4 linked regions of the Drosophila melanogaster genome follow. The protein of the gene in region 2 interacts with the protein of the main gene of each other region in a pairwise test. Each region holds a gene or a part of one and is shown on either strand. Other genes may lie near its edges. The genes, in order: CG8927, spz3, CG13157 and CG5386.

What was found.
Region 1: the proteins of spz3 (region 2) and CG8927 interact in a two-hybrid assay, tested with the Drosophila melanogaster proteins (one large-scale study listed by BioGRID).
Region 3: the proteins of spz3 (region 2) and CG13157 interact in a two-hybrid assay, tested with the Drosophila melanogaster proteins (one large-scale study listed by BioGRID).
Region 4: the proteins of spz3 (region 2) and CG5386 interact in a two-hybrid assay, tested with the Drosophila melanogaster proteins (one large-scale study listed by BioGRID).

The regions. Positions count from the first base shown.
Region 1 is NT_033777.3:16,178,083-16,188,073, forward strand, and holds CG8927 (uncharacterized protein), read left to right. Parts: upstream 1-2,937; 5' UTR 2,938-3,092; coding exon 3,093-3,113; intron 3,114-6,875; coding exon 6,876-7,744; coding exon of another isoform or gene 7,745-7,748; exon of another isoform or gene 7,749-7,806; coding exon 7,807-8,032; 3' UTR 8,033-8,153; downstream 8,154-9,991. Other genes in the region: CG8925 (uncharacterized protein), read left to right, coding at 315-582, 1,260-1,810, 1,871-2,016, 2,082-2,174; Bin1 (bicoid interacting protein 1), read right to left, coding at 8,170-8,556, 8,630-8,695.
Region 2 is NT_033779.5:7,872,119-7,882,345, reverse strand, and holds spz3 (spatzle 3), read left to right. Parts: upstream 1-2,793; 5' UTR 2,794-3,199; coding exon 3,200-4,139; intron 4,140-6,181; coding exon 6,182-6,315; intron 6,316-7,008; coding exon 7,009-7,133; intron 7,134-7,834; coding exon 7,835-8,314; intron 8,315-8,384; coding exon 8,385-8,541; 3' UTR 8,542-8,851; downstream 8,852-10,227. UniProt on the Drosophila melanogaster protein: Neurotrophin which may function as a ligand to the Toll-related receptor Tollo. Involved in a Tollo and JNK signaling pathway that positively regulates neuromuscular junction (NMJ) growth in presynaptic motorneurons.
Region 3 is NT_033778.4:12,412,907-12,419,833, forward strand, and holds CG13157 (uncharacterized protein), read left to right. Parts: upstream 1-3,137; 5' UTR 3,138-3,548; coding exon 3,549-3,966; intron 3,967-4,250; coding exon 4,251-5,236; 3' UTR 5,237-5,325; downstream 5,326-6,927. Other genes in the region: Cpr49Ah (cuticular protein 49Ah), read left to right, coding at 1,156-1,167, 1,387-1,947; CG42782 (uncharacterized protein), read right to left, coding at 6,248-6,388.
Region 4 is NT_033777.3:22,339,891-22,345,750, reverse strand, and holds CG5386 (uncharacterized protein), read left to right. Parts: upstream 1-3,499; 5' UTR 3,500-3,536; coding exon 3,537-3,622; intron 3,623-3,713; coding exon 3,714-4,211; intron 4,212-4,280; coding exon 4,281-4,461; 3' UTR 4,462-4,515; downstream 4,516-5,860.

The sequences.
Region 1 (9,991 bases), on a different chromosome or scaffold from region 2:
GATTATAGAAGTGAAATTGCAACAGTCCGATTAAAGGGCTGGAAGGACGAGTGTTCCTTTGACCATGACAATTTGAGTGGGATTCATTTTCTAATTGTCATTTATATGCAGCTTTGTCCGTGAATCGTTGGACTAACAGCTGCATTTGCGTTCGCATTTGTCCTGCTCTCTGGCCCGGCTGCGATTTTAATTGACTTTACACTCTTATTTACGTGCCCGACCTTGCCACTGACATTCCGCACCCAACCCACCCCACCCCTTGGGCCAACCCTTTTTGGCCACCGCCTGCATGGGTTCTCTGCTCTCCGTTGCAGGTGGAATTTTGGCCTTCTCAACATCGGTGGCCATGTTCATGTCGCTACGTGTTATAATTGGATTCGCATCAATGACCGTGACTGTTGTGAGCTTCGTGCTGGTGGTGGAGCTGGTCTCCGGCAAGTGGCGCACCGTAATCGGCATTCTCAACATTCTGCCCGTGGCCATCTCCTACGTCCTCTCCGCCGGACTGGCCTACCTCATCCGCGACTGGCGGCACCTCCAGCTGGCCATCTCCTGGCCATGGCTAATCATGCTCAGCATTTGGTAAGTTCTGCGCGGGCATCCTGGGTGGGGCAGTGCCATTGTTGGGCGTTTATTTGGTAATTGGAAAATCGGCTGAAGGGAAATCGAGGTCTCTTTATGCATTTTGCTTTGAGCTCTGATTTGTATCAATGGCTAAATGATATTTATTTACGAAATTTGTTTATTAATTAAACTCATGTATTTCCTTCCTGTAATTAACAAGTCATTTTATTATTATTAGCCATATTTTAAAGACATTTTTACATAATTCATGACCTTTAATTTTTTCTATTCTATTTTCTATACAAATCAATATAAATAACAGTGCTACTTTAAAGGCAAAAAAAAAAACTTAAATCTATTAAAAATCCGCTTACTGGAGAATTGAAAGCCCAAATGAACGCATTTCAACTTCAAAGCGTAAACATTTTTAGCAGTCAGTCAACTAAATGAATTGACAAGATAAAACCGTACACAACACACAATTGGTCGGATCAATTAGATTCCGGCAGGGACAAAGAAACCGTGTCCAGGACATTCCTCAGTGTTTATCCTCGGGTGCCAAGCAGGCCACAGAGAGCCACATTAGCTGACCGCCTTAGAAATGAAATGAAAAAATTCCTAAAAGCCAATAAATACCGGGATCATGACATTGATTCTCACAGCAACCCTACCCATTCGCTCCCATTCCTTTTTAGGTTCTGGCTGCCGGAGTCTCCACGCTGGCTTTTGGCCCAGGGCCGGCTGGACGAGCTGTGCGGGCTAATTGAGCGAGCGGCCCGAATGAATGGCACCAGCGCCAGTTTGCCCAGCAACTATCGCAAGACCCTCGAGGCGGCTGTACCGCGGGCGGTCCAATCTCCACCAGAAGCAACGACCAGCGTAGAGTCGAAGGCAGTGGAGGCAGATGCACCGGATCCAAGTGCAAGTGGCCATGTGAATCCCCTTCTGGTGGTATTCAGTGCAAAGTACTGGCGCACCACATGTTTAACCCTGGTCATCTGGCTGACACTGATCATCATTTACTTTGGACTCACGTTGCACCTCAGCAATTTGGGTGGCAATATCTACATCAATAGTGCCGTGGCTGGAACCGTGGAGGCCATCTCCATTTGCATTAGCATCCTGGTGGTCTTGAAAGTGGGAATCCGACGTAGTCTTATTGGTTACATGTTGTTGCCGGGTCTTTGCTGCTTAGCCACCAATTTGGTGTCAAATCAAACGGGTGTGATTGCACTGGCCACCATAGGTAAGTTGTACCCTAACATCTTTGACAACAACAATCTGTAAATGACCTAGTGTCACCCAGCCAAGTGTCTCATTGGAGCCAACAACGCCATCATTCCCACCTACACAGCGATGCAATATCCCACAATAGTTCGAAACTTTGGCGTTGGCATGGGCAACCTGGCATCGGGCATTGCCCTAATCCTTGTTCCCTTTCTCTGGAAACTGGTGGGTCCTCAAATCGTTTACCTGTGTGGTCTTCATTTTACCAATCTGATTTCCCCTCTTCACAGGAGCACATTGATCCCCTGCTGCCCTTGAATGTTATGGGAGTTTGTGGCCTGATTGGCGCCGTTGCCATCAGCCTTATGAAGGATGTGGTCTAACCAAGAGCTGCAATAGGAATTGGTATTTTAAAAGAAATCAGAGCTGATTTTCCGTTTTGACATGCCTAACTGTGATATTTATTGGACCTTTGGGGACATTGCGCACCCACACTAAATCGTTTCTTCTCATTCCACCATTAACACGGATTTTATATTGTTGATACATGATTTTATTTATACCTTCATTGCATTAAAAACAAAGTATTTTTATTAAATGCTAAATTAATTTGTATTTTGTAGTACTGGGTGTTTCGGAATATAAAAACAATATAAAAGGTTATAAACGATTAATTCTTTAAAGATCTAAATAAAACGTTCCTATAAAGAGATGCTATAATACGGCGGGTTTGAAGCCTGTCTAACTGTAGCACTTAGCCGATGCATCAACCATTGCGCATACGCTCCGTTGGTATGACTTTAGTTTGGTTGGTCTTAACTTAAAGCTTGGTGTCAAGCGTTGCCAGCGCACTGAATAATAAATACAAAACCGTTAAAGGCGGTAAAAGTAATTTAAAACTATATCACGTTCCCGGAGCTGTTCGAGACCAACCATTCTCATGTCCACAAAAGAGTGCAAAAAAAGTAAATACCAGACTGCCCTGTCACTTTCGTTACTTCATCGAGAGATGCGCTCCACTTTTGGCCCGGCCATTAATTGCATATCCATGCCAAACACACGCCGCACATAAATTTTCCGCTGCTGGCCAAAGCTCCGATTGGCGTTGGAGCTGGAGCTATAAAGCCGCCTGCGCACCTGGCGTGCCCAGCATTTCAGTGATCAACGGTTGGCCAAAAAGTACTACCTAGGTTTACCGTGTGGATAAAATTATTCTCCCCAAATAGTGCCTTCTTTTCGCTTTGCGGAAGTGTTACAAAGGGACAGGAAAGTTAAAAGGAGATTACCCGTCCAGATCAACCATGAAGATCCAACTAATTGCGGTAAGTTGGAAACCAGAGGAAGGATCAAAAGTGTTAGTGTTCTCGGTCATGTCACCACCTCAGCATGTTAGTGAATCATAAATATGCAGCTGTCAAGGTCGTTTGGTTGCCAGCTTAAGGCTCATACTCGATCTTAGATTGAGACATTGCTGGATATTTACGAGTATTTGCATTTAATAGAAAGTGCGCGAGTTGTGTTTACCTTTACCTGTGTCTCAATGCAATGCAATTAGCAATTAATGCTGGCCAATTGACATTTCATTTCGTTTGGCATCATAAAACTTAAGATCGATTTGAACAAAGGAACTCGTATCATAAATAGGCGATACAATCACCCAGATATTGTGTTTTCACTGTTTGCCAAAGAATTCCGTTTGAGGAATTACCAAACCAAGCCCTCGGGTCTGAAATTTTAACGAGCATTTGTTGGCTTAAAGCCCAGCTCCGCCTTAACTTTGCAAAATTCCCCCGGCCTCCATTATTAACCTGAATATTGGGCTCTCAAAATGGGCACACAATTGGCTTAAGTTTAATTTGTTATGCTGTCAAAGATTATCAAAGATCTTTGCTACCGCGCAAAGTTGATGAATTGTCAATTAGGTGATAGATAAATTATATTACTTGCGATACAATAAACAAAATCAATCAAAATAAGCTGGCGATGGAAGCCATTCCATAATATAACTTGCTATTCACAAAAAATTTAAGGTTAATTTTTAAGCTATAGACTGAGCTTTGCAAACGTCAAGTAAATAAAAACGACAAACTATAAATAAAAATAGGTGTTCCGAAAATACCAGATATAAAAAATTATAACTTTGTATATAAATATCAATTTTAAATGAAACTTCTATATCGACTATTTCCCTAAATTTCCGAAATAAATCTGGAAAACACCATAAATCAGCGGTTCCAATTAGATTTTCATGCTTTTGCTTGATTGATTGATTGACTTGGCCAAATTACGGACATGGCCTAATGAGCTTGCCAAAATTTGGACCAGAAAATGAATTGTTAATGACAAGAAAGACATAATTTACAGGAGTATTGTTTGGGAGCAGTTCGTCACGATACCATTTTTGTGCTAGCCCCGATTATGTGTATCAAGGTCGTTGGTGGTGCCGCAGCTAATAACTAGTTATGGGCGATTGGGATCCACAAAACGCACCCAAGGCGATGCAAATTCTCGGCACGCACGCTCCATTCATTTTTCAGTGGCTGTCGCTGCTGCAGATTCAGATTCAGATACAGCTACAGCTACAGATACAGATACTTGCCCACACTGCGACGCATTTGGGCGTACTGTGCTGGGATTACGTAATGGACGGGTATATGGGAATATATGTATGCCTGCATAAATAAGGCTTTTATACATGCATAAAGTGTTACATATTTGAGACCGAAGCCGGCTCGAAAGTGCACTGACAACTATTCCAGCGCAACGAGTCCAGCGAGCTACAAAAAAAAAATGCCCGGTCGGAATAGGACATATTTTCGATTTCATTCGGCTGCTCATTCGATTCGTTCGTTCGGTCAATGGCCATTGGACAGTCAAGGCCGGGACAGAAGTCCTTAGCCAAGTTATTGTTACTAATGATGAACCCACGGGAGTGGGGGGTCCGCATAATAAACATCTTTTGTTGTCTTTCACTGATGCTTACGACGATGATGATGGTGATGGTTCGCCAAAGGAACACCCACGTTTGCCTTCAGCTCCACCTGGGCTTGGCTTGACTTCACCTGGCTGGGTTTCAATTTGGGTCTCGAGCTGGGAACACCTTCCACTACGAACATTTATTTACACATGGCTACGAAATTTTCGGTTTCCTTGAACTGAGACGCAGACGCAAGGCGGAGTCATAAAAGCAATTAAATCAAATCAAGTTCCCCTGCCGAGCAATGCACCCAAAATAAATAGCTGCAAGTGTCTACCAGGCCTTGCGCAGTTTTATACACTTATACAATTTTTTTTTTGCTTTATCTGGCCTGGCTTTTATTAATTTTTAAGCCAAGTAGTTCACTTGACCAGGTAGTTGGGCAGCCAGCCAAGCCGCTGGCCACTGGAATGTTCGGCTTGAATGGCTGAATGGTTCCCCCACACACACACACACACATCAAACGATCAAAAAACAAAGCCGTAGCTCAGATACAGGAAAGTAATGGATAATAATAGTAAAAAATGTGTCGACTGCATGCATAACAAAATCTGCATGAGCCGAAGGCTTCATTGATTCGATTGATTATTATAAGCCGTAATAGTTATTTATGTTTGAACAATTGAATTATGTGCGAGAGTTAAGATTAAAACTGGGTTTATAGGTACTAGGAAATAGTTACTTAATAACTAACTTAATGGAATACTAGTTTTATAAGGAGCAGTCATATATGAACTTGATTTTATTTAAAAAGTTCTTGTCCACTAAAATGAATTCTAAATAAATCAAAACAAATAAAGCAACAAAAGTTTTGAAAGAATAATAATTCCACAAAAAAAAAAAACATCATTTCAATAAATAACCCTACTCAAGTTTCCAATCCTGTCAAGAACCCAAATGGAAACCGTAATTCCGTATCGAGTTTTATTCACTTCCCCAATCATTAATTCTTTTATATAAGCTACCTCGCCCAAGTGGGCCAAATTGTTATCTGATCTGTGACCAGATGGAAACCGAAACCGAGGGCGAAAAGCCATAAGCCGGCTAAAAATGCCCCTCCACCCGGTCTCACAATTATGCAACTACGGCGAATACTAATTAAAAGTTGTCGCACTGAAAATCGTGCTAGCATTAAGTATACGACTAAGCGGTCGGTCATTTGTCCTAGACTTTGACTTCTTTCGCGAACCGGAAACTTTTGGCCAATGTGCTTGCCACATGCTACATGCCGCATAACTCCGTCCATGCAAATTACGCAACCCAGACGCCAAAGTCTGAAATGTTTTCGTTTTTTTCTGCTTTTGGCTATGGCTCAGCTTGTTTTGGCTTTGGTTTCGGCTTTTATGATCGATCGGCAGCGAGGCGGGGCAGAAATCGCGATTTGTTTTATGTTCCACATTTACAGCCATTACACAGTACTGCCACAGTTGTTGTTGCTGCTGCTGCTGCTGTGGTTGTTGCCACCGCCACACCGTTACAACTACAAATTGCTGCGGCAGTTGTTCATAAGCGGTTGATAAATTTGAAACCAGTTTACGAAGGTGCGAGTTGTGCAGTTAGCCAAGAAGTGCCACAAAAGTCAGGCTGCAAGTGTGGTGCTTTTTACGAACCCCGAATTCGATTTAATTAGTAGTGCTAAAGACAAAGTTTGAGAAATGTTTGGAATATACATATTGTATATATATACATATACATATATGTCAATGAAAATAAGGCTACAGCCAAAAATAACTAACAATAATAAAAGCAATTTTTAAAGAGAAATGTATTACTTCTTGTAATGCACATACGTATCCTTCAAATTCCATAATTGTTTTTGGTCTTCTTGTGAACTCATTGACCAATTGGGTTTTAACTGAATGTACCAAATTCTTTGCTGTTTTCCACCCCCAAATCGGATGAAAATTCTAAGAAACCGTTGGACAAGCAGCATGCCAAAAATGAGCGTGTAAAACTAATTTCTTAAGAGGGGCAGTGCCAAAAGCGAATCAACAGTTAGTGGCAACGCGGTGGCCAAAGCGGTGGGAACGCCTTGTTCCGGCAACTGGCACAGTTGATCCCCATTTGGAATGCACTAATGACATACATTTTTCCCTTCCGATTCCAGCTCGTTTGCAGCGCGATCGCGTTGACAGAGGCCCAAAACTATCCCCCGCGTCTGAGCATTCCCGGAGCGGTAGCATCACCTGGTCAAGTGCCCCACCGACAGCCTGTGTTGAGAGTACGCCGTCCAGGAGCCTCATTGCGCCAGCAGAATACCATACTTCCAGCGGTGACGCAGCGCATCGCCATTGAGGAACCGCGTCCTGTGACGGAATCAGCGGAGGATGAGCAGCCGGAGCCATATCTGCCGAACCTTCTGCGGGAACAGCAGTTGGCTCAGGCCCAACAATCACAGTTCCAGCAGGCAGCAGCCGCCTTCCTGGCCGGCCAACAACCCGTTGAACAACCCTCGCCGGTGCAGCAGTTCCTTCAGTCCGATGACTCACAGCCGGCTGCCATCCTGCCTCCTCCTTCCTCGCGCTTCCCCGCTGAACGGCCATCTATTCCGACGCCCCTGAACCGTCCCGCCGCCTTCAATGATTTTGGCATTGGTCGGTTTGAGAACTCGCAGAGATTCGGATTGGAGCGACCTACGCCCACTGCAGCAGCGCCACCACCACCGCAACAACAGCCCCAGCGGGTGGCTGTGATCCGAACAAGACCAGCGTCTTCCGCTGCCCTACGACCTGAATCACCACCACCACAGCCTATGGCCAGGCCACGCCCTAAGCCTGTCCAGCCGCGTCCCATCATTGATCAAAATCAGCTACAGGACGATCACGTTGACCAGCAGCAGCAGCGTCGCCGTCAGCCCGTTTCCCAGACCATTCGCAAGTGGCGTGAGGAAAACGAGGACGGAAGCATCACATGGGGCTATGAGAACGACGACGGATCTTTCAAGGAGGAGCTGATCGGCACCGATTGCATCACCAAGTGAGTAAAACAGATTGAATCCAACCTCTTTCTCCCACTTACCCAAACTTCTCGTTCACCAGGGGAACCTATGGCTACGTTGATCCAGATGGCAACAAACGTGAGTACCACTATGAGACTGGAATCAAGTGCGATCCTAACAACCGCAACAACGAGGAAGAGCTACAAGAGAACGGGTTCGTCAACTACGAAGAGAATCGCGCCGTGCTGCCCAATGGTCTGGAGATCGACATGACGCAGTTGGGCAAGAAGAAGTCGAAGCGCCCGAACGGCTTTTACAGGAACTGATACTCCCCACAACATATAGTCCCTTAAGTCAAGCAGCTCGTAGTTCGTCTTACTTGTATTCCACTTATAATTATGTTCATACTCCATTGAGTGTCAAGTGAAAGATTAAAATGATTAGAATAGATGAAAGTGAAGAATCAGTACGGACGCTGGCGCCTGGCGGTTGGCGGCAGTCGGTTGGGCGGAGTAATCGAGATGTCCAGAAAGTCTCCAATGCTGAATTTGGCCTGAGCAAGTGTCTTATTATCATCGATTCCTTTTTGACCCGTGCAGGTCACTCCGATTTCGCGCATCTGGAAGTGATTACTCCGGAAGTTGGGGTACACGACAGCAAAGTCAAAGTAGGTGCCCTTCTTCCGGGTGTCCGGATTGACGTCTCGCACCAGAGAGGTCAGTTCGTGCAGGGTGGCGTCTTGCCAGGTGTAAATCTGAAGCTCGTTGGTGGGCACGTTGCCGAACATATACTCCGACACGGAGTGGTGTCGTCCCGTAGAGCAGAAGACACGGAGCAGCATAGGACAGGTCTGGAAAATACATAAACTTATTAACACATCTAGAGCAAACGCGAAGTAAACATGACCGGGGTCACAAACAAACCTTCTCGCGGTCAATCTGCTTGACCTGCGTCTTTTCCTCCACAATCATAGATTCCACGTTGGCCATGTCTCCCTATTCTGCGGTATATCGTTACTAATTTTCTTAATTTTAATACAAAATGCACTTTTAATGCCGTATATTCCGGCTTCTCTTTGCTCTTTTCGATAACTATATAATCGAATGCAGCAATCCTATCGCACATCGCCGAGTGTGACCGCTTGTCGCATACTTATCGGGTTTTAGTTTAATCGATGTTTCCAGAAGCACCAAAATTCGCCGTTTCTCAGCTCTAGTCCGAAAACAAAATTCGCTGTGAGCGGTTGTGTCGTCGAACGTGAAACTACGCGTCTCCGCGAATGACGCAGACTGGAAGCTTCCACTGGCATGACAATCGTCTAAAAACATTCAACAATAGCGGTGCACTTGCAAATTACTGTTGCCGCAACAACAATAACAACTGCTTCGCTAAGCAGTAGCTGCGACCACAACAACAAGGAGGAGAGCAACAACAACGGTGGAGAAGAGCCGTTTGTTATTGGCGCATAAAAGCAGAATCGCAATTTGGCCACTGAATAGTTTCTAAAAACGGTGAGTACATTGTGGCAGCGGTCCATTTGCATACCGAATTGAGATTTGCACTTTTTGCAAGAGTTTCTTATGTAACGGCAACAGCAGCAGCAGCAGCAGCTGAGTTTTACGTGCAAATTGTTGCCGTTGCTTTGCTTGTGTTGGTGCCGCAGCGTCTGCGAAAAGTCACCCTCTTTGCAACCACCCTTCACCCCCCCTCATATTTCATTTATGCATCGCTCTCTCGCTCGATTTGTTTATAAACATTCAGGAATAAGCCGCTGCTAAATACTGAACTGTTTTTATCTCAAGAAGTACAAGGTTATCCCATCCCCAGCCACCCACTTTCGATCTCCTCATTTTTATGCATGCGCCATCATTTGCCGATAATAGTGCCATTCTGTTTGTTGTTCTAAATGTTCTAGTTATTGCAGTAGCGTGGAAGGTGTGGTCATATGGTGGTTTCTATTGTGTCAACAAGGAATCAGTTTCCCAAAAGCTGCATATTTGTTTTTATTTTTAGTCAAATACCAAGAAATAAGTCAATCCAGACATTTGATATTTTTAGAAACGGAATAAACCCCGTTTAAGTGCACAGAAACAGAATCTGTGATTACCCTGGTAAAAGAAAAACACTAGAAGGGGAAAATACCCCACTTGAATTAACCCCCTGCTAAAGGGTATTTTCGCTTCGGCGTGTCTGAATATTTTTAGTTGGCTCGTGTTTTAAAGTCCTCGAATCCACTCCCACCTCGTTGATCCTGCAGCAGCTGTTTTTGCCACAGTTCCTGCTGC
Region 2 (10,227 bases):
CGACTTAAGGCCACAGCTCGAGAGCCACCTTTCGATAAGGTCTACAAATTGTTGCCGGCGCTGTTTCACTTCTCTTTGACAGACCCCGGGGGCGATTTAATGTCCAGGTCCAGGCGCTAGAAGGAATGTCATTTATAGATCTCGATTCAGTTCGATTTCGCGTCAAATATATTTGATTGTCGAGTGGTTTCGGATTGGATTTTGGAGCCATGGATTCGTTATGCGCCATGTGCCAGCCAACAGCAAAATCCGACCAAGAAGTTTCAATGTCTGTCGCATGAAAAGGGAAAGGCAAAAAAAAAAAATATATAACTAACGCTTAAGTAATTTTTTCGTTTGAACTGATCTATGCGCAAACTTGTTCTGGCCTTATGAAATCGGTTCGGTTCAAATTGCATCTGGGCTTGCAGCGTTTGAAGTGAGAGACTAGGGACGGGCAGGAAGTGCCAGTGTTTTGGATGAATCATTAGCTTCCTCATATGGGAAAAGCTAGAAACAGTTTTAATGGTTCTTCTGGGGAAACGGAAGACAGCCAGGGGTGCCGTGAAGGATAGGAAGTTAATATTTTTGAAATATAAAACGTTTCCGATTTAGACAATTAAAATCCATTCTCTAAATTTGGTATAGATTTGGTGATTTATACACACAGTTTACATTCAAAGTTTTCTTTTAATATGTATAAACATTAAGCCAATTTTTTTATTTTATAGTTCACTTTCCGTCCCTGGCTTTTATGAAAATATGCGATATTTGTTGGGCTTGGTCAGCAGCAACTCCAATAGAACAAAGGCCTGGCTATTAGCCATGGCCATGGTTATGGTTATGACTTGGTCAGCACACAACATTACATTGAGAAAAAATACAAAAATTCAATTCATAAGAAACTTGTTCCTAGAATGCACGTATACCTTATGAAGAAGTACCCCTAATCGAATTAGTAAATTTAAATATGTAAAGGTTTTTCTCAACTTGCCATTTTTCGAAATTCCGTTTATACACTTTTCAATTTTTCAGTTTTTATGTAATTTTTCCAAGTGAACGAGCAGACCAGCAGCTGGCCAAACCCAAGTGTTACAGTTTAAGTGACTTATTTGCATGTAAGAATGCGAAAAAGGAAAAGTGGCTCAAGACACCGCGTGTGACCCTGAAAAGGGGACCAGGGCAAGAGAATCACCCACAGGCCAAGTATATTACCGCATATCCTACATCAGAAAAATTCCCCACTCGTAACTGATTCATCCATCAAACAGGAGACACCATTAAAGGGCGTTTTTCCCAGAAAAAATCATGTCCAAGATAAGATCATAGCACGTTGAGGCTGTTTTATCCATTAGTTGCATCCGTTTCCGGCTGTCTAGATGCTGGGAGCTCCAATTCGCGAGGTGCTAATATGCAAAGTGGACGCATTGATCCGAGATCTATGACGTTGACACGACCACACCTCCATCGCTTAGATGAAATATACACCGAGTCATTCATTCATAGCATCATCGCCGCCATCCATTTGCTCATCGCCCGATGCACTCGACACATTTCAAATTACCGCCGCATAACCCCGTTGCTTCTGCCCTGTGGCCACTGGCCACTGTTTCACCTGGCTAAGAGAGTGTAATATAACCGCAGAGACATGGTCATGGAGATGGGGAGAACCCTACGGAGGGTCTCCCACCAGCCACTCTCTTTGGATGGCAGTCATGTGTGTAACAAATCGACCCGCGATGCTCTTCACAACCAGTTTTGAAAGCCCACTTTAAATATACTTTTGCTTTTCATTGCCTTCGATGAGAAATAAAACAGCGCAGACGTCGTATTCGGTTTGGTTACTGTGATTAATATGCGTTTCTCGGCAAAAGCCACTAAAATGTATATCAGCCCATGACGACGCATCCAGGCATTGACCTAGGTCACTAATGCCAGCTAAACGGGGTTCTCATTAACATCAACCTAATCCCACTTTGAGGGATGCCGTCGGCACCTGTCGAAGAAGATTCCCCCGGTGAAGGTATAGGAAAGGTATACTCAAAATTGTATTTGGCTCCAATCCAGAATTGGATTGATTTCAGAAGTGCACGTAACTTAATTAGTATGCGATTTCCTTTAATTAAGTCACTTCAAAGGAAATTCAGCGCATAAAGTTAAGCGATTTAAAAATCCAAACCAGCTTTTAACTATGCCAGAAGATAAACCCCTTTTCTTAATTAAAACATTAAGCCAAATATAATAAAACACCTTAATGCTGATATGCGGTAACTGTCAACAACTTTAGGTTCACTTTTAAAACCCCTCAGATGATTAAAGTAAATTATTTAAATTTATTGGGTTAGTCCATCAATCATCAACAAAACATTAATATTATGTGATCTATATTATAACTATTCTGCTAATACATTATAGTAATAGTAATGAAAAAATTCGCTTAAACATATTGCTAATAGTGATTCACTAAAATTTATTAGAAACCATAATTAATAGAGAACTTTTCTGTATAACTTGAAAATATGTCAGTTTTTTAATATTTTTGTTTATTTATCTCCGCCTCTAAGAGCATTTGCTCTTCGATTGGCTCAGTATCGAATATTTTCCGGTTTTGTTTTATTTTTCGATTTGCCATTCAGCAGAAACCGAAAAACGAAAGATAAAAACGCAACTCAGTTCGCCGAGCGTTCGCTCTTAGCCAGATTCCGAGATTGAGGGAGCTGAGCGCAATGTTTCAAGTCGGAGATTTTGAGATTTCGAGAGTTGAAACATTTTCCACCCATTAAGTTTGTTTTTAAGGCGCACGGCGAGAACGGCTCAGTCTCGATTGTCAGCTTGTCGTGAATGGTTTTTTAGCACACACGCGGACCGGGGACCGAAGCAAAAAGTTCGCGCTTAAGTTATTTAATAACAACAACATCGTTTGCACATACCTTAATATCGCCATATATATATATAAACGACATAGCCCGCCGATCGACGCGTATGTGTGTGTGTTAATATTCTGTGTTTGCCAGTGTGTGTTTGCCATTGTTGCCAGGGGTGGGAAGCGGGAGCTGATCTGACTGATTTGTTATTTTTGCATAAATCAATTTCGAGAGCGCGCGCCATCGATTTCCGTGCGCTGATCTGTTCTAAATGATGTCGCATGCGCGTCCGGATCGAGTTTGTCGCTTAAGTCTTTCGTTTGCCAACTGAGAGCGCTAGCATATTTCGCACGCCCATGGCTCTGACCAATTTCTCGCTGCCCTTCGGTGCCCTGGGCCAGCCCTGGGGAGTCACCATAGCTCCCCTGCATCCAATCCACCAGTTGGCCAGCAACACAAATAATCTGCTCTACTCGCCAGCTGACCACCAGCAGCAGACTCCCGCGGAGGCAGCCGCCGATCCGGAGTACTTCAAGAACAATCCCTATGCGCCGCCGCAATCGGGTGGTTATCAATATCAAAATACAGCTGGACGACGCAAGCAGAGTAACGCCTATTTGCCACCGACAGCGCCGAATGCTGTCCGGAATTCCGTTTACCACATCCAGCAGGTACAGCAGACGCAGCAGCAGCAAACGCAACAACAACACCAGCAGCAGGATCAGCATGAGAACAGCGTGTCCTTCCAGAGCAGCAGTTCCAGATCAAGTTCGAGCAGCACCACGGGCCAAAGTTCCATCCAGCTGACACAGACTCATGCGAGTGGCCGGGGACCGGCGGAGGGTTCGTACTCCCGTTATCCCGGACAGCAAGCACAGCCGCCGCAGCAGCAGCAACCGCAACAGAAGCAATATTTCAATGCACACGGCAGTGCCAGTGCCACTTTTACTAAGAACAGCGGCAGCTTTAGTATTACCAGCTTTGGCAGCAGGCAGCAGCAGCAGCAGCCACCGCAGCCGCAACAACCACCGCCATCGCAACAGCAGCAACCACCACCTGCACCACCGCCCCAAAGGTCCAGGCAGGCCAAGCCGGAGGCTCAACCAGCTCAGACATACGGAGTTGCCCCGCCGGAGAATTATCCGGAACGAGCACCAGGATTTACACGGGTTCAGGCTGGTCAGGGATCCAGGACTCAGGTACACGCCGTTCTAGACTACGACGTGGAGGAGGGTGAGGAGGATGAGGAGGAGGACGGAGAGGAGGAAGGACAGTTCTACGAAGGCCAAGAGAATGGTGAGTACCCAACTGGATATTTTACTATAAGGTGAAACAAACTAAGGAATTAGAATTTAAAAGAACGAGGTCAGATTTATAATAAAATAGTATACTATTAAATGATTAATTTATCGAAAGGATTTATATGAATTTGCATAACAGCACAGGAAGCTGAGTTCTAAGCTTAAGGAGTGCATTATTTTTAAAATTCTATATGCCAACTTGTTAACCAAGAAACACTTCCAATTGGAATGCCTAACTACCCCACGAATAAGTGACTCAAGCAGACGTTAATTAAATGTATTTAAGTGCATAATAATGTGACAGTATGATCTATGTAGAACTTTGGTTGAAGAGGCCGAGAATCACTTCCTCATTCATCCAAAAGAAATTCTCCGGACTTTGTCGTATCACTCTTCTGAGTACATTCCAGTTCGAGTGTTTCCTGATTCACGGAGATGGCAATCTTAACAATTAACAATTAAAAACGAACCAAATGTTGGTGGCTTAAATTGTTTGCTTTTAGTCAAGTCATATGTGTAGTGTGAATTTAGAGCATGTATGTAGATTCACAGAGATAAGCGGCATAGAGTCCCACGTTTGCACACGATTCGAAAGACGGGCGCTGAAAGTCATGTTAATTTCTGTGGTTTCGCCTGCTACTTGTTTTTGTGTATCTTTCCAATTGAGAGCAACTTCTGCACAAGATCGCCGAGCAACTATAACAAATAACAAACCTGTGGGGTAAACAGCGCACAAGCAACGAGCGGCGACAAGGTCAAAGGTCTACAAACCGATCGGCAAGGTCACTTTCAAGACAGTAATGGCCAGTGTTTGAATTTTATAGCAACTAACAGGCTGGCACGCATCACGATTTATGTTGTGCCGGGGTGTATCTGTATCTAAGACCGTCTATCTAACGGCTCAAGTATCTACGTATCTTCGTATCTGAATCTGCTGCCCTTGTTGTCCTCTTGGAAAACTGTCAGCGGCGCTTCACTTTTTCGGATGTTTCACTTTCGGTCTAGCTTGTGGCGCCTCTTTGTTTCTGCCTCTCCATCTCCATCTCAATCTGAATCTCAATCTGCGAGTTGTCGAGGCATTAGCCAGCCAGCAACCTGCCAGACTTGAGACCTCAAGTACTCAACTCGGTTACGGGGCTATTATGCAAGAAGTCGCGTTTCAATCTCCCGAAATGAGGGGCAAGGGGCCGAGCTCATGAACCAGCTCTCATATGAAGACGTGCGCACGCAAGACCAAAACTCAGATACTAGTTTGGGTCGCTCGATGTCTTGGCGCGGCACTCAAGTACTCAACACTGGGTTTTCACCTTTGTGCAGGCAGAAAAATATCATAAAAGATGCGATCTGAACCAAAGATCAGTGCACAGAAACAAAGAATCTATTTCACAACCTGCCAAAGAATATATCTCATTAGCTGAAAGTGACATGAGATCTGAACACTGCGAGAAAAAAGTATAGAAATCAAGAAAAACGTCATAACATAATAACTAGGATATTTCTTAAATATTATTTTAAATCTGACAAATTTGTTTGGTAAGACATTTTTCCGGTGAGAGCTATAAATTACCTAAATAATTCAAAAGTCATAGCATAATAATAAGGAAACCACTTGTCTAGAACCCTTCAATTCCATTACATTTAGTTTAAGTAACATTTTGAGGAAATAAGTTTTTGCACTGTATGCTCCCTTTTTTGGATTCTGCAACCCGTTTTGCATCCTGCAGTATGGCTATAAAAGGGAAAGTTTCTGTCTGCGCCCAGATCCGGATCTGGGCATTACAAATGCCAGGCAGACATGAAATTTATACATGCAAGTGTCAACTGCAGTGCGATTTGTATGCAGACACCGAGTGCACTTGCAGTTGCAATGGCAGCTCTTTTTGGGTTTAACCGGGCTGATTAATGCAGTGACAACGGCCACGGATACAGCAATTCCCCCGTCCTTGCCATGAATCACCGCCGAAACAGCAGCCATTTAAAAGCACTCCAATTTCCATTTTCACTTCATTTTCGAATCCATTTACATTCCGTTCACAGATAAGTCGAATAACAATCAGATGCCCACAGTGACGCCCATCCAGGGACCGATTTACTTGAAGAACGGGACGGTTCCAGTGGTGCCGCTCTTCTCCTATCCGAAACTCAACAACGGATCGTTCCTACAGATTCCGGTAAGTACGGATCGATAGGTTCGCCGGCATGAGGTTCTAAGCCCGCGCGCACTTTAATTGACACACTGCGGAAAATATAGATCGCAAATAAAAGTAGGAGTCAAAAATCATTTATGAATTTTAAGTAACAAGCAGGCATCACCTATTCTTCCCATTTCTGTTTATATTGAAAATAATAAAAATTTGATTTGGTCTTCGGTGAGTTCTAGTTTTCCCGATTTCCTACAGTGTACTCTCGATATCGATCGAGTTTGTTCATTTGCGGAAATAACTTTGACGATTTTGTGTTTCATTTCGGTTTTATTTTCCTTTTTTTTTTGTTTTTTTGCGCACGAAGGTCGTGCGAGTTCGTTTCATTAAGAGGTGTGATGATGTTGATGACGACGAAAGAAGAGAGAGATTGATATTGAAAATCTTCGCATGGCGACTCGAGTAGGCTTAATCCCAAAATCCAACTCTAAACTGCACCGCCCGCCACGGCTACACCCTTCATATCTTCTTATTTTCGAATATAAAACGAACTTTTATGTTTATGACTTACTTGAGTCATTTTCACACCCCGGCCATAATTTGTTATGGTCGCCATTCCAATCTGAGGCTCAGTACCCCGCCGAAACTCAATTGCCGTCTTCAATGCTAAATAGTTAATACTTATCGCCCGGACTGACCATCGTATATCTCTGGTTAATTTAGATCTGGTGGACGGCTTTGTCGGTGGCTTTGGGACTGGATGTGCGCGGCGATGTCATCAAGGGAGTGCCGTGCATCAAGCGATATCATCAACTGTTTTGCCCCACGGCCGGCAATAGTTATCCCATGTAAGTAACCATTGTTCTCTATTTTTGGGCTGCGGGAAATCCCGAGTGGAAATGGTATATTGGTATTTCCCTTGGAACAGTCGTATAACTTTAACTCTCTTGATTAAGTCAAGGATGTTTGCATTTCTGTGGGTTTCTTCTACCAGTTTTTTTTCCCAATGAAACTGATCTGAATCACATTTAATCCGGATGACTGTTCTAAAATCACATAGTTAACTGTTCTCATTAGCATAGAAACGTAAAATTACCATGAATTTCATCACTAGGCTTAAAGCAAATCCAAAAAGTGTGACTTTCAACGATATTCATTCCAAAGTTCATTAACATTGGGTCCCAACATTTTGCGCTAAGAAGATATTAATTTCTTTTAATTAATAATATCATTTTCTTAATTAAAGATAAATTTTAATTACTATTTACCGTGGGTTTTGACCTCATTTCATCTGCTTTACGGACCCTCTCAAATCAATTAATTTTTCTCAAATGAGTATTTATGATCAATCTTTTTAGTGAATCACCTGATTTGGCAAAGTATTTTGTATTTTAATTTTAAATACGGTCACTTCCTTTGTTATTATAAAAATAAATTCATTAAATACGTCATTTTACGGCGTACACCTGGAAGAAATAAATAACATTAAGTTCTTTTAAATACTTAATCAATTATTTTATACAAAGCTAAACTACCTGCTTATTTTTAGTGACAAGATTGAACGTTTCATAGACGACAACAAGGCCCTGATGCGACGGATGTACGGCGACTTTGAGATGAACATGGAGGGTCCTGGCGGAGGAGGTGGCAGACAACAAGGCAAGGTGCGAAAGCGTCGCTTCATAGACGAGCCGGATATATTCATACCCCCGGGAGCATTTGCTGCCAATGCCGGGGAGACCGTCGAAGCCGGAGATAGTTACTTTGGCCAACTCCGGAAAAAGCGCCAAGCTGCCGCCGGAGGAAGTCGAAATAGAGGCGGATCTGCCGGAGGAAGTGGCAATGGGAACACGAATGCCAATAGGCAACCGGGAAATAAGAATGGTAGTTCGGGCACTGGAAGACTCGATGCCTGCGAGTCGAAGATTGAAATTGTCACACCGTACTGGGCATCGAACTCCGCGGGTAAGATCAGAGCCATCGTAAATACTCAGCATTTCGAGCAGGCGATTCACCAGGAGGTTTGCAGGTTAGTACACTGTTAACTAAATAGTAAACAAAACGAATAATGAAATGATTTTTTTTTTTACTATTTGTAGCAATACCCAAACTCCAAGATGTGAGGGCGAGTGTGGATGCGAGCAGAAATACAAATGGCATAGATTACTCGCCTACGATCCTGATAACGATTGCAAGGGCATTTTTATGGATTGGTTCCTGTTTCCTTCGTGCTGTGTCTGTAGATGTAATCCCTAGATTACCTGACTCTGAGCAATTAATACATAAACAATTGATAAATGTAATTGAGACAAGTAATTGTAGGTAGAATGCCACTGAATGTATTTTAGTTGTTGTTAAGTAGACCTTACGTAAGCCCTAATCGGTAGCTCTAATTATGAACAATTCTACACATAGTTAAGATTTTATCCGAGCCATATGTATATCTCCACTATTCTCTATATCCCCTCCATCAACATGCGATATTACTCAGCCTCCATTTTTATTGTACGGTAATTATAAACGTAATTGTAAAACGATTCAAGTGAATAAAGTCTATGCAAATATTAAATATGAAATTTGGGACTGGGAACACTGTATTATAGCATTTCAATTAGCACATAGTCTAGAATATCACGCGTGCATCTAAGGTTTTTAGCTTGGGATAACTAATTTGGTAGCCCTGTTTGGGATATACTAAATTGTAAAGATAAATCTTTGGTTTCTATTTGACTGTAAATTATTTAAAAATGCTTAAGGCAAAGTCCATTAGGATTACTGTTCAGAGAAGGAATTGTATCTACTAAAACATATCTACTAGGACATAGAAACAACACAAAGTTACTTAAATTATAGCCTTGCTTAATAATTGGTAATAATTGGTAATAATCGGTTGGCAGAATGTAAAGCAATAAAATCGGTAACAATTACCTTAATCTTGCTATGGTGGAAACAATGTCAGGTGGTCAGTTAAATCATGATTTATTATATTGCCATAAGACTGAAGGGGAAACCCCAAAACAATTATTGACTGTTTGATAAATTTCAACAATAGAGTTGCTAAAATTGGAATGCTTCAGTTAAGTCAGAGTGTATGCAAACAATAGAAAAAACTTAGAAAAATAATTAAAAAAATAGTTATTTTGCATCGGCCGGGAATCGAACCCGGGCCGCCCGCGTGGCAGGCGAGCATTCTACCACTGAACCACCGATGCTTGATGTCTACACACACTCAAAGCCCCAGTATTTACGTCATATTTCGATGAGACAAAAGTAGAGCTTTCAAGAGCTTTCAGCCTAGGGCAAGTCAAAGTAAATTTCATTCACTGCTCTCAGTCCGGAAGTCATGAGTTCAATTCCCACATAGGATGAATTGATTATTTCATATTTTGAGTAATTGTTTTTCCTTTTTTTTTCTGAATTTATAACACACCCAAAACGCAATGGGCATTCACAATTGGCTTGCTTTCATAAAGCGTTTACATGCGGAGGGCCATAAATTAACCAGCAGATGAGTGGTGGCGGAGGGTGGGTATGAATGAGCATATTGCTACTAGTATTCCTCATCCCATCGGCGTCGTAAAAACCCTTGCCCTGCCCGAAACTGGCCCACTTCCCATGCCCGTCACGTATTCAATCACAGCAATGGCTACACAAAACTGCGCTATATCAAAAATTTCGGTCTATCGGTCGTGCGTGGTATTCAAATGGTCCATTTCACCGACACCACAGCACAGACAGCCATAGCCAGCCGCACATATCCCAGCAGCGCGGAGGAAGACCATAACAATTGAGTGCTGGGCTCCAGTTAACGTTAACCAAAGTCGTAGCACCAAGGACTGGGGCATTTATTGACGCCCGCAATGTCAACAATTGCAGCCATGACGACGGCAGTCCCAACAGCAACTACTAACAGCAACAGTGCGGTAACAAAGTTTTTGAACT
Region 3 (6,927 bases), on a different chromosome or scaffold from region 2:
AAGAGAGAGAGAGAGAGAGAGCCGACTGTCGCTTTTGGCCAAGTCAACAACGAAAGCAAAGCAAAAAAAACTCGTTCTGGCATGTTTCTAAATAACGGCATTGCGAAGATGAACGACCGGACGCGCTGGCGGGGGACGGACATTTCGCAGACATTTGAGCCGGGCCTACGAGCGGGCCAAATACGAACAGCGACAATAAGCCGGGCTAAGATGGGTGCCGGTATAAAAGGGGCTTAACAAGGCAAAACGACTCTTCATAAATAAGTAATATATAAGAAAGTTTAATAGATAAGATATTTTTAATATAAAATGTTTAAAAAAAACATTTCATAAGAATTTTCTTGCGTTAAAACAAAAGACTTAGGAAACGAACTTGTTATTTCAATAAAGTATCCCAAGATTAGGGCATGAGAAAAAGGGAAAAGGTCAGAAGCTATTAAAATTAAACATTTTTAGAGCTGATTTTGCTTTGCGAAAAGAAATAATTTGTTTTTTACTGTGTGCGCATTTGCAATTTTTTCGTTTTTTTTTCATTATATAATAATGACGGTATCAAATTTTACAAAAGGCGAACACAAATTATTAATCCAAAATTATTATGGAATGTTAGCTTTATCCTTATAGTTTGTCATAGTTCTGGATTCCTTTTAAAATCATACTGCCTCAGCCTCTGAAAAAGCCTCAAACGAGAGCGACAGTGAATTGTTTTTTTTTTTACGATTTTAGCATTTAAGCGTCGTCGAGCCTACGAACAACAATTACCGATCGGTCGGATCAGACAGCTAACAAAAAATAAGAGCTTCCATGGCAAATTCCACTTCCACTCCCATCCCCTCCCATCTTCATCGGCAACTGCAACTGCATATCCATCTGCAACTTCATCTCCATTAGAAACTCCATCACCAGCAGAAATAGCAAATGCACGCTCTCCCATGGAGGCTCACCTGTGTGGGTATGGACACGAGTGCAACAGGAGGATCGGATCGGGTCGGAGCAGAGCGAATCGCCTATATAAGACCAAAATAGGGCCGCGCTTGGCACAGTGTCTAACGGAGCTGCTTTCACTAGCCAGTGCGATCAGTGCCAGCCAAACGGGCGACAAAGCGGGCCAAATCAGTGGAATACAGTGGATAAGCGGCAGAGACTCCTTGCGAAATGAAAGTGCTCGTAAGTGGTTCACATAACCAATCACATAAAATCGGTCAAGTGATTCTCGATGAATGATTGGCAAACATTGCAACAGTTCGATCTTCTCAAATATAAAATTTATTGGTTTACATTACATCTAAAGGATAGGATTAAATATTCTTTTTTGTGATTACTTTGTTTGGAAATCGTAATGACTTGCATGTGTTAGTAAGCTTAAGCTAATATTTATCCTTTCAGATACTTCTTGTGCTGTTGGCCATTTCCTGCCAAGGACAACACCACCATCAACATCAGCACCAAAATGTGAACAACATACCACGCGATGACAAACCAGATCATCATCGTCATGAAGATCACAGAGAGACCAGCACCTGGATACCCATAATCAAGTACAACAAGGAGCAGAGTGACGATGGAAGCTACAAGACAGAATACGAGACGGGCAATAGCATCATTCATGAGGAAACCGGTTTCCTCAAGGACTTCGACACCAATCCAAATGGGGTGTTGGTTCAGCATGGCCAGTACTCCTACCAATCCCCCGAGGGAACTCTGGTCAATGTGCAGTACACGGCCGACGAGAATGGATTCAGGGCCACAGGTGATCACATTCCTACTCCGCCGGCTATTCCCGAGGAGATACAGAAGGGTTTGGATCAGATCTACGCTGGCATTAAACTGCAGCAGGAGCGTCTGGAGCAGAGGGCCAAGACAGATCCAGACTTTGCGAGGAAACTGGAGGAGCGACGCGTGGCCAACCAGAATGGCCAGTACATCGGTCTGCTGGAGAACCAATAGACGAGCTCCGCCCATTCCATTCCCCCACCGAACCGATGATCCTGGAAACGTAACTTCTTCGCATTCTATATCAACAACAACAAGACTGTGATTTCATTCTGCAAGCTCTTCCAAATCCAAATCGCTGTACCACACTGAATGATAATCGTTTAATAACTTTTGAATTTCCCACTAAGTACCATAAAACCAACAGACAGGGGCGCTCAATCAAATTAATAATATTTTATTAACGAGTGTGAAAGTTTCGCTGCTTTGAAACAATAAAAGTAAACTAACGTTTCCATTATGCCGAACCGACTTGATGATGGACTTACCATATTTTCTGGCATTATTTTTTTCCGTTTTACAGCTGACCATATCCACGATGTTCAGACAAACGTGACAAAGCGTTTATGGGTCCTCATTATTTTCTCAAAGTATTTCCCCATTTACCGTGCATCTTTCGTTGCTTTATTATTTACTTCGCAGATCGAATTACGTTAGTTTGTTGATCCCATTCCATGCAGGTTGGGTTTTCCAATTTTCCATATTTCTACATCGCCGCCATGGAAATTTTCTTTCGAGAGGAGTCTCTCGACTGGTTGCCAGTTGCATAATTACGACAGATTTTCCAGTGCCATTCGACTTGTCTTCGCGGGCAGGCGTTGCATGTGGAAAGGCTGAGGAAGCCAGTTGAAGTGGTCCACGAATGGGTTACTGGCGTAGCCCCGATTTCGCGCCGAGAAACCTCTTCGTTCTGCCAATTATTGTATTTAACGTAGGCTACCTTTACCGTTTGGCATTTCGAATGGAGTAGCCCTTGGCTACGCAAATATTGAAACCAAAAACCACTGTCATCAGGTTGAAAGAACAAACAACCGAATAACCTTTTGGGCCACAAAACGGCAAACGATTTGGCCACCTAACATATTTGCATATAACGTAAACACACTGACTATACTCTGCGGTTATTTCTAGCTGAATATAAATCAAATCCGCTGCATTTTCACCACCGCCGTAGAAACAGACCCCGAAAGCGGGGCCCCGAAGAATGTTTATTCGCCATTAAGTTTCAACGCTCTTGCGCATAATTAAGACGAAAAAAAAACCATATAATAACGAAGCCGAACAAAGGAAAATTTCTATGGCCCGTGATTAGAAAGAATCTTTCTTGTGGGCCTGTGCGGTGCTGGAATTGATTTGGCCAACTCAGTTGCCGTTTACAAGCCGTCGCGTGCAGATCGCAAATCGCCAGCAAAAGAGATACTTCCTCTACAATATACAATATCTATAAGAAAGCTGAAGATCGAATTCGCAAGAGCGTTACACCGAAAACTGGTAGCGATAATACAAATATTTGTTTGTGGGGAGTGAAAAGAAATGGGGAAGTGAAGTGGTTGATCGACAGAAAAGTGAAGATGTGAAGAACTGTAGATGTGAATATTACATTGACATCGAAGCAACGTCAAAGAAAAAATAGCAGAAGCCAAAAATTAAACAATAGATTGTTATTGTGGCTGCTGAAAACGAGAATGAATCAATAAACCTATAAAAACGAACTGTAAAATTGAAAAGTAGCACAGCATCTGCAAAAAAAGAAGATAGACGTGTTCAATTTAAATATGGTTAGTCATTGGAAAGAGTGTCTACTGTGGTCGCTGATAGCCCTCAGTGGCTGCCAGCTAATTGCCACACAGCAGCTGCAGGGTCCTCCCCGTCCCAGGGGGCGTATACGCATTGCGGATATGCAAAATCCCGTTTCAGTCGGCGGAGCACCTGCTCAGGCATTGGGAAACTGGCCAATTGTGCCGGCTGCAGGCCCCATCAGTTCCACTGTGCACACCCACATTCCACTGTGGCGCGAGGAGACCGCCCCCCTGCCGGCCACGCCCAGTCAGGAGGCGGTGGTGTACGGCAACTGGAAGCCAGAGCATCCGGAGAGGCCCGAGAAGGTGGACACGAAAATCGATTCGGAACCGCAGCCCAAGGAGCGGGTCTACGGACGCCTGGAAGCCATGCTCATGGGATTGCCGGCAGATGGTAAGAATTCAACTTCGAATGTGAATTTCCTATTAATATAAGTATCATTAAAAACAAGCAAACGCTGCTAGAATTTAATGAAACTAAAGTCTGCTTAGTCTTTTATTTAATAGGTTAAATATATTTTCAATAACCTGAATTATTAATCTCTAATGTTATTGATTTATATTAATGATAACTATATTGAAACCTAAACATCTTTTTAAAAAGATCTTCATGTAGCGTTTAATTTGGTCTCTGTTTCGAAATTGTTTGCTCATGTCTCAAATACTTCTATGCCGCAGCTATTGATGCCAAGCCATCAAGTTCCAGCGAAGAGCTGTCCGCTCCTATTGCCCCTGGTGGCTACCAGAATCCTGCCTATTCCCGACCAGTCAGTCGTGAAAGTTCAGCAGAGAAATATGGACGCCGGCGCATCAGTACTCAGCAGGTGCCACAACAATTCGAGTTGGCCAGGGTCAACGATTCGGAACCCATATTGAAGGCAATATCCAAGCAGATCAACGAGTCCGTGGAGACGACGACGGACAATCGAAGGAATTCCAAGAATTCCGCCGACGACAACTGGTTGCCCCTGCCGTATCCGTATCCTTACGATACCACAATGCCAGCTCCACCTGCAACGAGCTCCGTGGTACCAGGATTTATGCAATCCTCGGTGGTGCATCCACCGGTTCCCACACAGCCCACTAGATCCACTGCGGGTCTATTGAATTGGCCCACTGATTTCATCGATAGCACATCCCTTACGGTGAGCACCGAAAGGATAGATGGGAGCATTCAGGGGAGCATTGACCGGCGCGACGAGAGCGTCTCTGATCCTGTGGACGAATACAAGTACTACGAGGATTCTCTAAACTCCGCCCAGATGCACAGCGAACTGAGTGTTCCAGAGACCGTGCCGCTGAATATAACCCGGGTGGGCATTCCTTACGAGGATCGAAATGCCTCTGAGGAGCCAACCATATGTGTGCCTCTCACCGTCTCGGAAACTTCGCTTTCCTCCGACAGCATTGTGCCCCAGTTGGTGGAGGTCGAAAGGGTCTACTGCTTCCCCCTTCCCAAGGTGGAGATACGTCCTGGTCATGCTCGTCCGCAGGTAGAACAGGTGACGAGGCAGCAGGAGATACTAGATGCAGATATGGATATACAGCCAACCCAAGTGGCTATACCGAGTGATTCCGGCGCCGGATCCCCGCAAAGATCACTTGGCACGCTCGCGGTGCTCCTCGTTATTGCTTGGAGCTTCCGGCGAGAAAATAGTATTTAAATTTAGTATCACTTGACCTTAACACAACTCAGGGGCTATTCGCTAATTACACTTACTTAACAATTAAACCTAAGCCAACCCATACAATTCACTTCAGCTGTTTTTTTATTTTGGGTGGAAATTGATGGGTCATCAACTTGTTTATCTCTAAGAAGAATATATTTTTCATATATTTCAATGAATTTAGAATAACTCTCTAATCTACCTTTTTTCGTATCCTACCTTTAGTCGATTAGTCGAAGGCGTAAACAAAAGCTGATAACGACCTGCACTTATGTAGATAATGAATTCTTAAGCATTCCTTATCTCTATGGATTTTTTGATTAACAATTTCATTCATAGAAAAATACTATTCGTTGTAGAACTGTAATGAAATAATTATATAACTAGGTAGGACATCCAGTCGAGGTGTAAAGATAACCCATCCAAAAATGCAGTAAATTGAATCTAATCGAATGCATATCATGCTTACTACGAATTGTTCGTATCTAATCAGTCAAGCGTCAGAGTGTATGGAATCAATCAAAATTTATTTTTATATACATAATGTATTTATTGGATTGGATCATATCAGATGATGCCTAACTGTGAAAGCCAGCATTGCATCAAAGTAACGACATTATTATCAATTGTAGAAACCTTTGCAAAAAGAATCTCCTAGAACCGGAAAGTAGGGAAAATATTTAACAGCTTTAGATTTTAGTATAATATATACATATATTCCAGACTAATTTTTAAGCTTACCAGAAGCCTAACCAAACTATGATTACATTTATTTATGACAGCCACATTCTCACCCAAGTGAAATTGTTTTAAAAGGGAAAGAACTTTCAAATTTATGGGTTGGCTGCCGGGCTCTGAGCAATAGAGTGTCCTTGTAAAGTGACAATAAGTGCGCCCTTCCTGTTAATCAGTACAAAGTTCGAAAAGTAGTAAGCAATGCTGTTATTAAAACAGCCAATATTCTTTAATGTTCAGAAATTATTTATTTCTTGTTATTAATTCTTAACCCTACATGGGCTGATACTGGCAATAGTTATTTTTGAAAACGAAATGTACAGGACATTGTCTGATAATTTCATACGAGGATGCCATTCCCAGTCCAACCATCAAAAGCATTAGCTTCAAACCGGAATATTGGCTGATAAGCATTGTAAAGTTGGATTTGATAATGTTGAAAGGAAGCTCAAGTAAACACGTTCACTGTGTTATATCGCACTAATCACTAAATCACTGAGTCTCAAATTTTACAATTTATAGCAGTTTCGAAAGACGCTTTTAATTTAAAACAGTCAGCTTAACACACCTACTAAACTGAAATATATTCCTCTCGTCGCAAAAACTATTAAATATTATTTTATTATTTTTTTAAGTACTATTCAGTTTTTCAACACCCTATTATTGTGCAAATCACATCATGAAATGGCTAAAGTTGGCTATTAAAGAAAAGCAATAAATAAATAATATCATTGTCCTAGAACCAGGCACACCTTTTAATATAATTCCCATATATTTATTCCAGACAAGTAAGGTGTATCTGATAGTCAGGGAAATGGACTATAGCATTCTCTCTTGTTTTTAATCTACAATATAACAATTTTGTACAGCAAAATTCTCATTTGACACTATAAGTTAATTTTTAATTTTACCAGGAGGGTTACTGAAATCTTATTTCACAGACCCCTTTTTCG
Region 4 (5,860 bases), on a different chromosome or scaffold from region 2:
AGTGCGCCGGGCGCCAGTCCTGAATGATATATCCAAGTGCTGGTAATAAATTCCCCCAGTCATGCCACAAAGTAAGCCAAAGTTGCTAAACTCCTTTTTTATATGCGGATGTGCTCCAAAGCCATTTCCATATGGCTGAGTAGAAATCAGTTAGAATAGAGACGGAAAAGCGCAATTGCAATGAGAGCATAATTTGTATGACAAGTTGCTTGGCGGATTGTAAGTAAAGTTAAAGCGCAGCTTTGTGCATATAAAGTTTTAAAGGTATTGAGAGAAATCCTCCTGGCTACTAAAAAGAAATAATACATTAATACTAATTTAAATGGGAATGTCAAAGCGGAAATTGGAGATTAAGGTAATAGGATATTATTTACTTTTTTTTTTAAAGCACTAAATGCTTAAAGCCCATTTGTGTTGTTTTAAATAGGCCAGTAGCTCAACTCAAAGCGTTTCGGACAGGCTTCTACAAAAAAAATTTTTTAATTAGTTTTAAGAAAAAATGCATTCTGCAGCATGGATAATGAAATTGTTTTTTATAAATGACTGAATTGAATTAATTGAAAAAGGCTGATTGGAATAAAAAAGAGTATGTGTTGAATTTGTTATTTCATTGCACTTTTGCCGCCGATTTTGACCTTCACCCAACATTGAGAACTCGATTAAAGCCGCAAGAAATTGCCATTGCAGTCGGGGCCACGCCCATTTGCCCCCTCAAAAGGGAAGCGGCAATAAGGGGAGGGACGAACAAATAGCAACAACGTCTGGTTATGGCCAAGTTCAAGCCAATGTCTGGCGGCGTCTGGGGCACGTGCTGCCCAGATTCATCTCCGTCAGCGGAAGCCTCAACATCAGATTCAGATTCGGCTCCATCTCAGCCATTTCTCTCCATTTAAGCCTGCCCCAGAGAGGGGGTGTGGCAGGCAGGGAGGGGGGAAACTGGAAAAAATGGTGAAAAATTTGTAACCGAGGCGTTTTGTTTGCTCTCGTTTGCTTTGGTCACGGATACCAGACTGCCAGTCAAGTCAAGTAAACATGATGTGCGGGGTCTAATTTTTTCCCCTTTCTTTTTTATATACATATATATTTATATGTATTTTTTAACTTCTGGCAGCCAGTCAACCCAGCCGGGGGTACCCCCTTTTCGCCAGCGCTGTCTGTGAGCTATATGGTTGCACAATATTTTACATTTTCATGCATGACGCGTTTAATCACGTGATGCATATGATTTTTAGCCAGCCCAGGGGTTATGGGCACTGGAGTCTGGGATTTTGGGGGCGCTCCTCATATATTCATGCATACAATTCCATCAGCATGAATTATGTTTTGCATACTTTCAGCCTGAGTTTGTGCGAGCTTTGCTTGTTTTGCGTTTAGGTCTTTGGCGCTGTCTGGCGCATTCTTGCAGCCCTTGATGCCCTCGGCAGTTGCCTTTCATCTCTGCCTGGGAGATCCTACTCGTCAGAGGGTTTTCTGGATTCTGGCCCCTTTTTTTTCCACACTTTTCGGTGGTGTGGGCCCACTCAAAAGTTGTGGATTAGAGCGTGTAATTTTACTAAAAAGCGCCAACGAGCCGCACTTCACACACATGCAAACAGTTGGGTTTGACAGGATAGGAGCTGCGAAAGTGAATTTTGTTTAATATATTTTAAGTTATACAGAACGTACATACTCAGTGTCAATCAAAGATTAAAAGTCTAAATGAGTATATATTGCATAAATTGTTAAATTGGATTAGAATCTTTAAAGAAGTTCAAACTATTCGTTTGAACCCGTTTTTCTTCCCTCTGCTGTGTGGCTGCAAAGAGGTGGATTCCCGGGTGAGCGGTTGTTGCCATATTTTAAGTGTTTTCTGGTTTTTCGGCCACTGTGCACGGTGCTTTTAATTCCTATGGCGGCGCTCGCCTGTAATTTATGTGCTTAACTTTCACACTCGGCTGGCTAAAACAGTCACCGAAAAATCGTCATAAAAATAGAAAATATATATATATATGAACACTCTCGTACTCGGCCATTTCACACTTTTGCGCCTTTCGGCCGAAAAGCGGTGGAAAATGAAAGCGAAGCCACAAGGACAACGGCTAAATGCGGAGGAGGACGAATACATTCCAGTGAATATTTATGAGCAACCAAAGTAGCATTTGTGCTTTACATTCCGACTTTATTGTGGCCATCGTTGCTGAAGTCCAGCCAGTTGTTGTTGCCTCTGTGTGCAACAGTCCCGTCCATCGTTGAAATTCAGGCCGCCCTTTGTGGCTGCCATTGCTTCACTGGAATAAATATTCAAATTGTATGTAATAGTTTATACTACTACTCTATTCTATGAACTCGCATTTGATCATCTACTTAGGTTTTAATATATCAAATATTTCGATAGAAACTATCTTGTTTATTATGATGTTCAACTGATATTTTAATTAAGTTGCTTTTTACTGTGTAATGTTGGCGCTGCTCTTGTTGCTGTTGCCGTCCTCTCATCTCTGTCAGCTTTTCCGACTCTGATGAGTTTATGCTTGGAGCACATATTACTTTATTCCAGAGTGTGCCTAGGCCCCTGGCCACGCCCCCCGCCCATGTGGTTTTGGCCCACCAACACAGGCACATGCACACAGTCGGCCATTCATGACTGTCATGAGTTTTCCGCAATTGATGGTCTAATTATGCCGCCAACACTAAATTTCATGACTTTGCTGGTCGACGAAGGCCGCCGATGATGAGGGGGTAGAGGGGAGGGGGTATTTTCCGAGAAGGGGAATTGTAATTTAATGGAAAAACATTTTGCCACACATCCACGGAGAGCGGAAAATGGGAGCTGAAGCCAAGGGCCACTTTACAGTTTGACAGTCACTGCCAGACGGTTGACATTTTAGCTTGGATTTATGGCCACCTCTTTGAAATGGCTCGTATGTTAATGCAACAGTTTGAGAAGCGTAGTTTTATGGATTTGAGTTTAAGAGCCCTTTTTGTTGAAAGCACATAATCATATAACTTATGGAGGCATTTACAGCAGCTGAAAGGCAGCTTATTATAAAAAACATATTTCTTATTAAAGCTAAAATATTAAACTTTACCAATAAGAAGTAAACTATTTAGATGAATAAATGTATTCTAATCAATTTAAGAGAGGTATAACGTTACTATTTAGTTTCTATTAGCTTATTTTTACTATTTGATTAAGCCAATTAGCTAGTCATATTTTTTGTAGCCGGCTAATTGAGATCCACTCAATCGAGAACCGCTGTCGGGCCTCCAGTTGGATCTGTAAAGCCGAACTGGTAATTATCATACCGAAACCAATGGGGCACATCAAAATGTTCACACTTCATAATATTTGCATATTAATGTGCATGTATAATTAGCTTCGAAATAATTAATGCCCGAAAACAAGAAACCTAATCGAATGCCTAGGCAAAAGCAAGCATCTCCCAATTAGAATCCATGGCATCGGAGAATATTTGATGTGTGAAGTTAGTTAGCCGGAGTTAGTTCTCACCGAGAGTTTCGAGTGGAAGGTCTCTGGCACTAATAAGTCTTTAAATATGTATCCAAATTGGCTCGTTCTGCTCCACTTGCCGCTGGTTTGTTTGGGAGTTGTTTCGCAAACATTTGCACAGCCGCTGACAAAGTAGGTCGTGTGAATGTGCTGGAATGAATCTCGCCCAGTGTGTGGGTGGTGGTTAGCGGGTCAATCTATTGAGCAAACTATTTGCTTACAGGCACCACAACACCGGCATCCTGAGCATCAATCGGGCGGAGGGACAGAAGATTGAGGAAGCCGCGCTCCAGCAGCATCTGCAACAAATCACGGGCAGCGAAGCGTTGGCGCCATTGTTGCACGAGTTACTGGGCCAAACTGTGCCAAATTGGCAGCAGCCACAGCAGCAGCAGAAACATCAGCAGCCACGGCAGCAGCAGCAGCAACACTACCAACAACAGCAACCAAAATGGCAGCAACAACAGGCCACAAATCAACCGCAACAGGAACAGGGGCAACACTTTTTTGTTTATGAAAACGCCGCGGGTCAACCACCTCAAATATTGGCCGGGTTCAATGGCGTCAATGTGCAACCTGAACAACCAGGCCAGCAACTGCGTCTCCAGCCAAAGCCAATTCAGACGGCACAACAATATGGAGGAGTCGGGCCAAAAGTCGTTAAGGCGCCGCCAGCCGCAGCTGCAGCCGTTTGGGCGCCACGAGTCGAGAGCCACCCGCCGTAAGTAAACACTGAAAACTACCAACTTATATAATCCATTATTTGCATTAAACAATGCATTTTAATTAGCCCATACCCATCTGCGGCAACTGCAGCGCCAGCAAGTTGCCAACTCGGCAGGAATCCGTCGGAAGTTGCCGCTCCTGCCAGCCCCAAAGCCACGCCCCCCGCGCTATGTCCGCCTCCTTCGGGTGGCCAGGAGACGATCCCCTTGCTCAGTGCTGCGGCGCTCAAGGCGACAGCTGGTTAAGTTTTTAATTAAATCGCTGGCATAATTAATAAAGATGCGCATAGAGAGTCGGGCAAAGTGTTGCATACTTTTGGGGCGGCCGATCGCATGGGTGTATTGGTTGCCGTGCACATGTGTGTGTGTGTACTCAATATTCATTCATGTGAGAGCAGCAGCTGTGTCAGTTACTGCAAAAAAAGTGAACTGGCTTTTTTGAAAATATCTTTATTAAATTCGAGGATTTTGAATAACCTTGAATAAACAGATGTAACAGATTCTAGATTTTTCTAGAATTTTTTTTTCTAATCCGTAACCAGATTTGGCTTCCAATCTCCCAAAGCCCAGAAAGAACTCGAACAATACGTATGAGACTTATTTGTCAGCGTGCCTGCTCCGGCCTAGCAGGACCTCCGCCCACCAGGACTCGTTTCGAGCTGTCACCGAACTCAGCATAAAAGTAAAACATTCAACTAAAAACAATTTCTAAAAATATATGTGTACGAATATAAAACATGCAACACGAAAAAACCGCACAAAACACTTCACGTTGAGTGCGACTCGCAAATTGTGGGGCGTCTGTGTGAGTGAGCTGCACCACCGACACCAACAGCACCACCGCAGAAAAGAAGCAAAATAATAAATAAAAATCCGCAAAATGTATGTGTGGCGGAGCGTTGAGTCTGCGGCGGAGTGTTTTTCGCAAGTGTTTGAGCGGGAAAAATGAAAGTGCTGAAGTGTCGCCCATTGTTTGTCCTGTCAACTCAACGAAGCCGCAAGAAGTTGATGACCGGAATAGTTGGGGGATGGGCTCAAAAGCAGGTCTATAATCTAAAGGAAGATCTTTGGGACATTCCTTGGTATCGAAACAATAAGAGTGGCGGGTAAACTGAAGGGACGCTTTTGGTGTCTAACTAAAATTTTAATATACTTACTAAAATAGGACATATACTCTCAAAGAAAGTTACCCAGCAATCTATTCGCTAGAAGTCGAAAATTGTTCTCAGCATACATATCTGGTTTAAAAATGTGTATTTGTTAATATCAAAGTAAGTCTTCCAAATCTGAAGTTCGCAGTAGGTCCTGGCAGTCAAAACTGAAATTGAATTGGATGTGGTTGTGACTCCGACCCTCTGACGTCTTGCAGATGTGAGTAAACTGGCATACGGATGACTCCTTTGTTGTCATCGGCACTTTGGTACACACTTTATAGAGCTCCATTCGAAGGCTCTAATTTCATGCGCGCATAATCAGGGAGCGTGGCTAATTAAATTCTAAACATTCGCCAGCATGAGCGCACTAAAAAATGTTTTATATGACTAGAGTCTCGAGCCCCATCCAGTGTTTCCCCATCTCTTCGTGAAATCTAACCCCATCCCATACCATTCCATACCATACCCATTCCATTCCAAGCCAGCCTTCA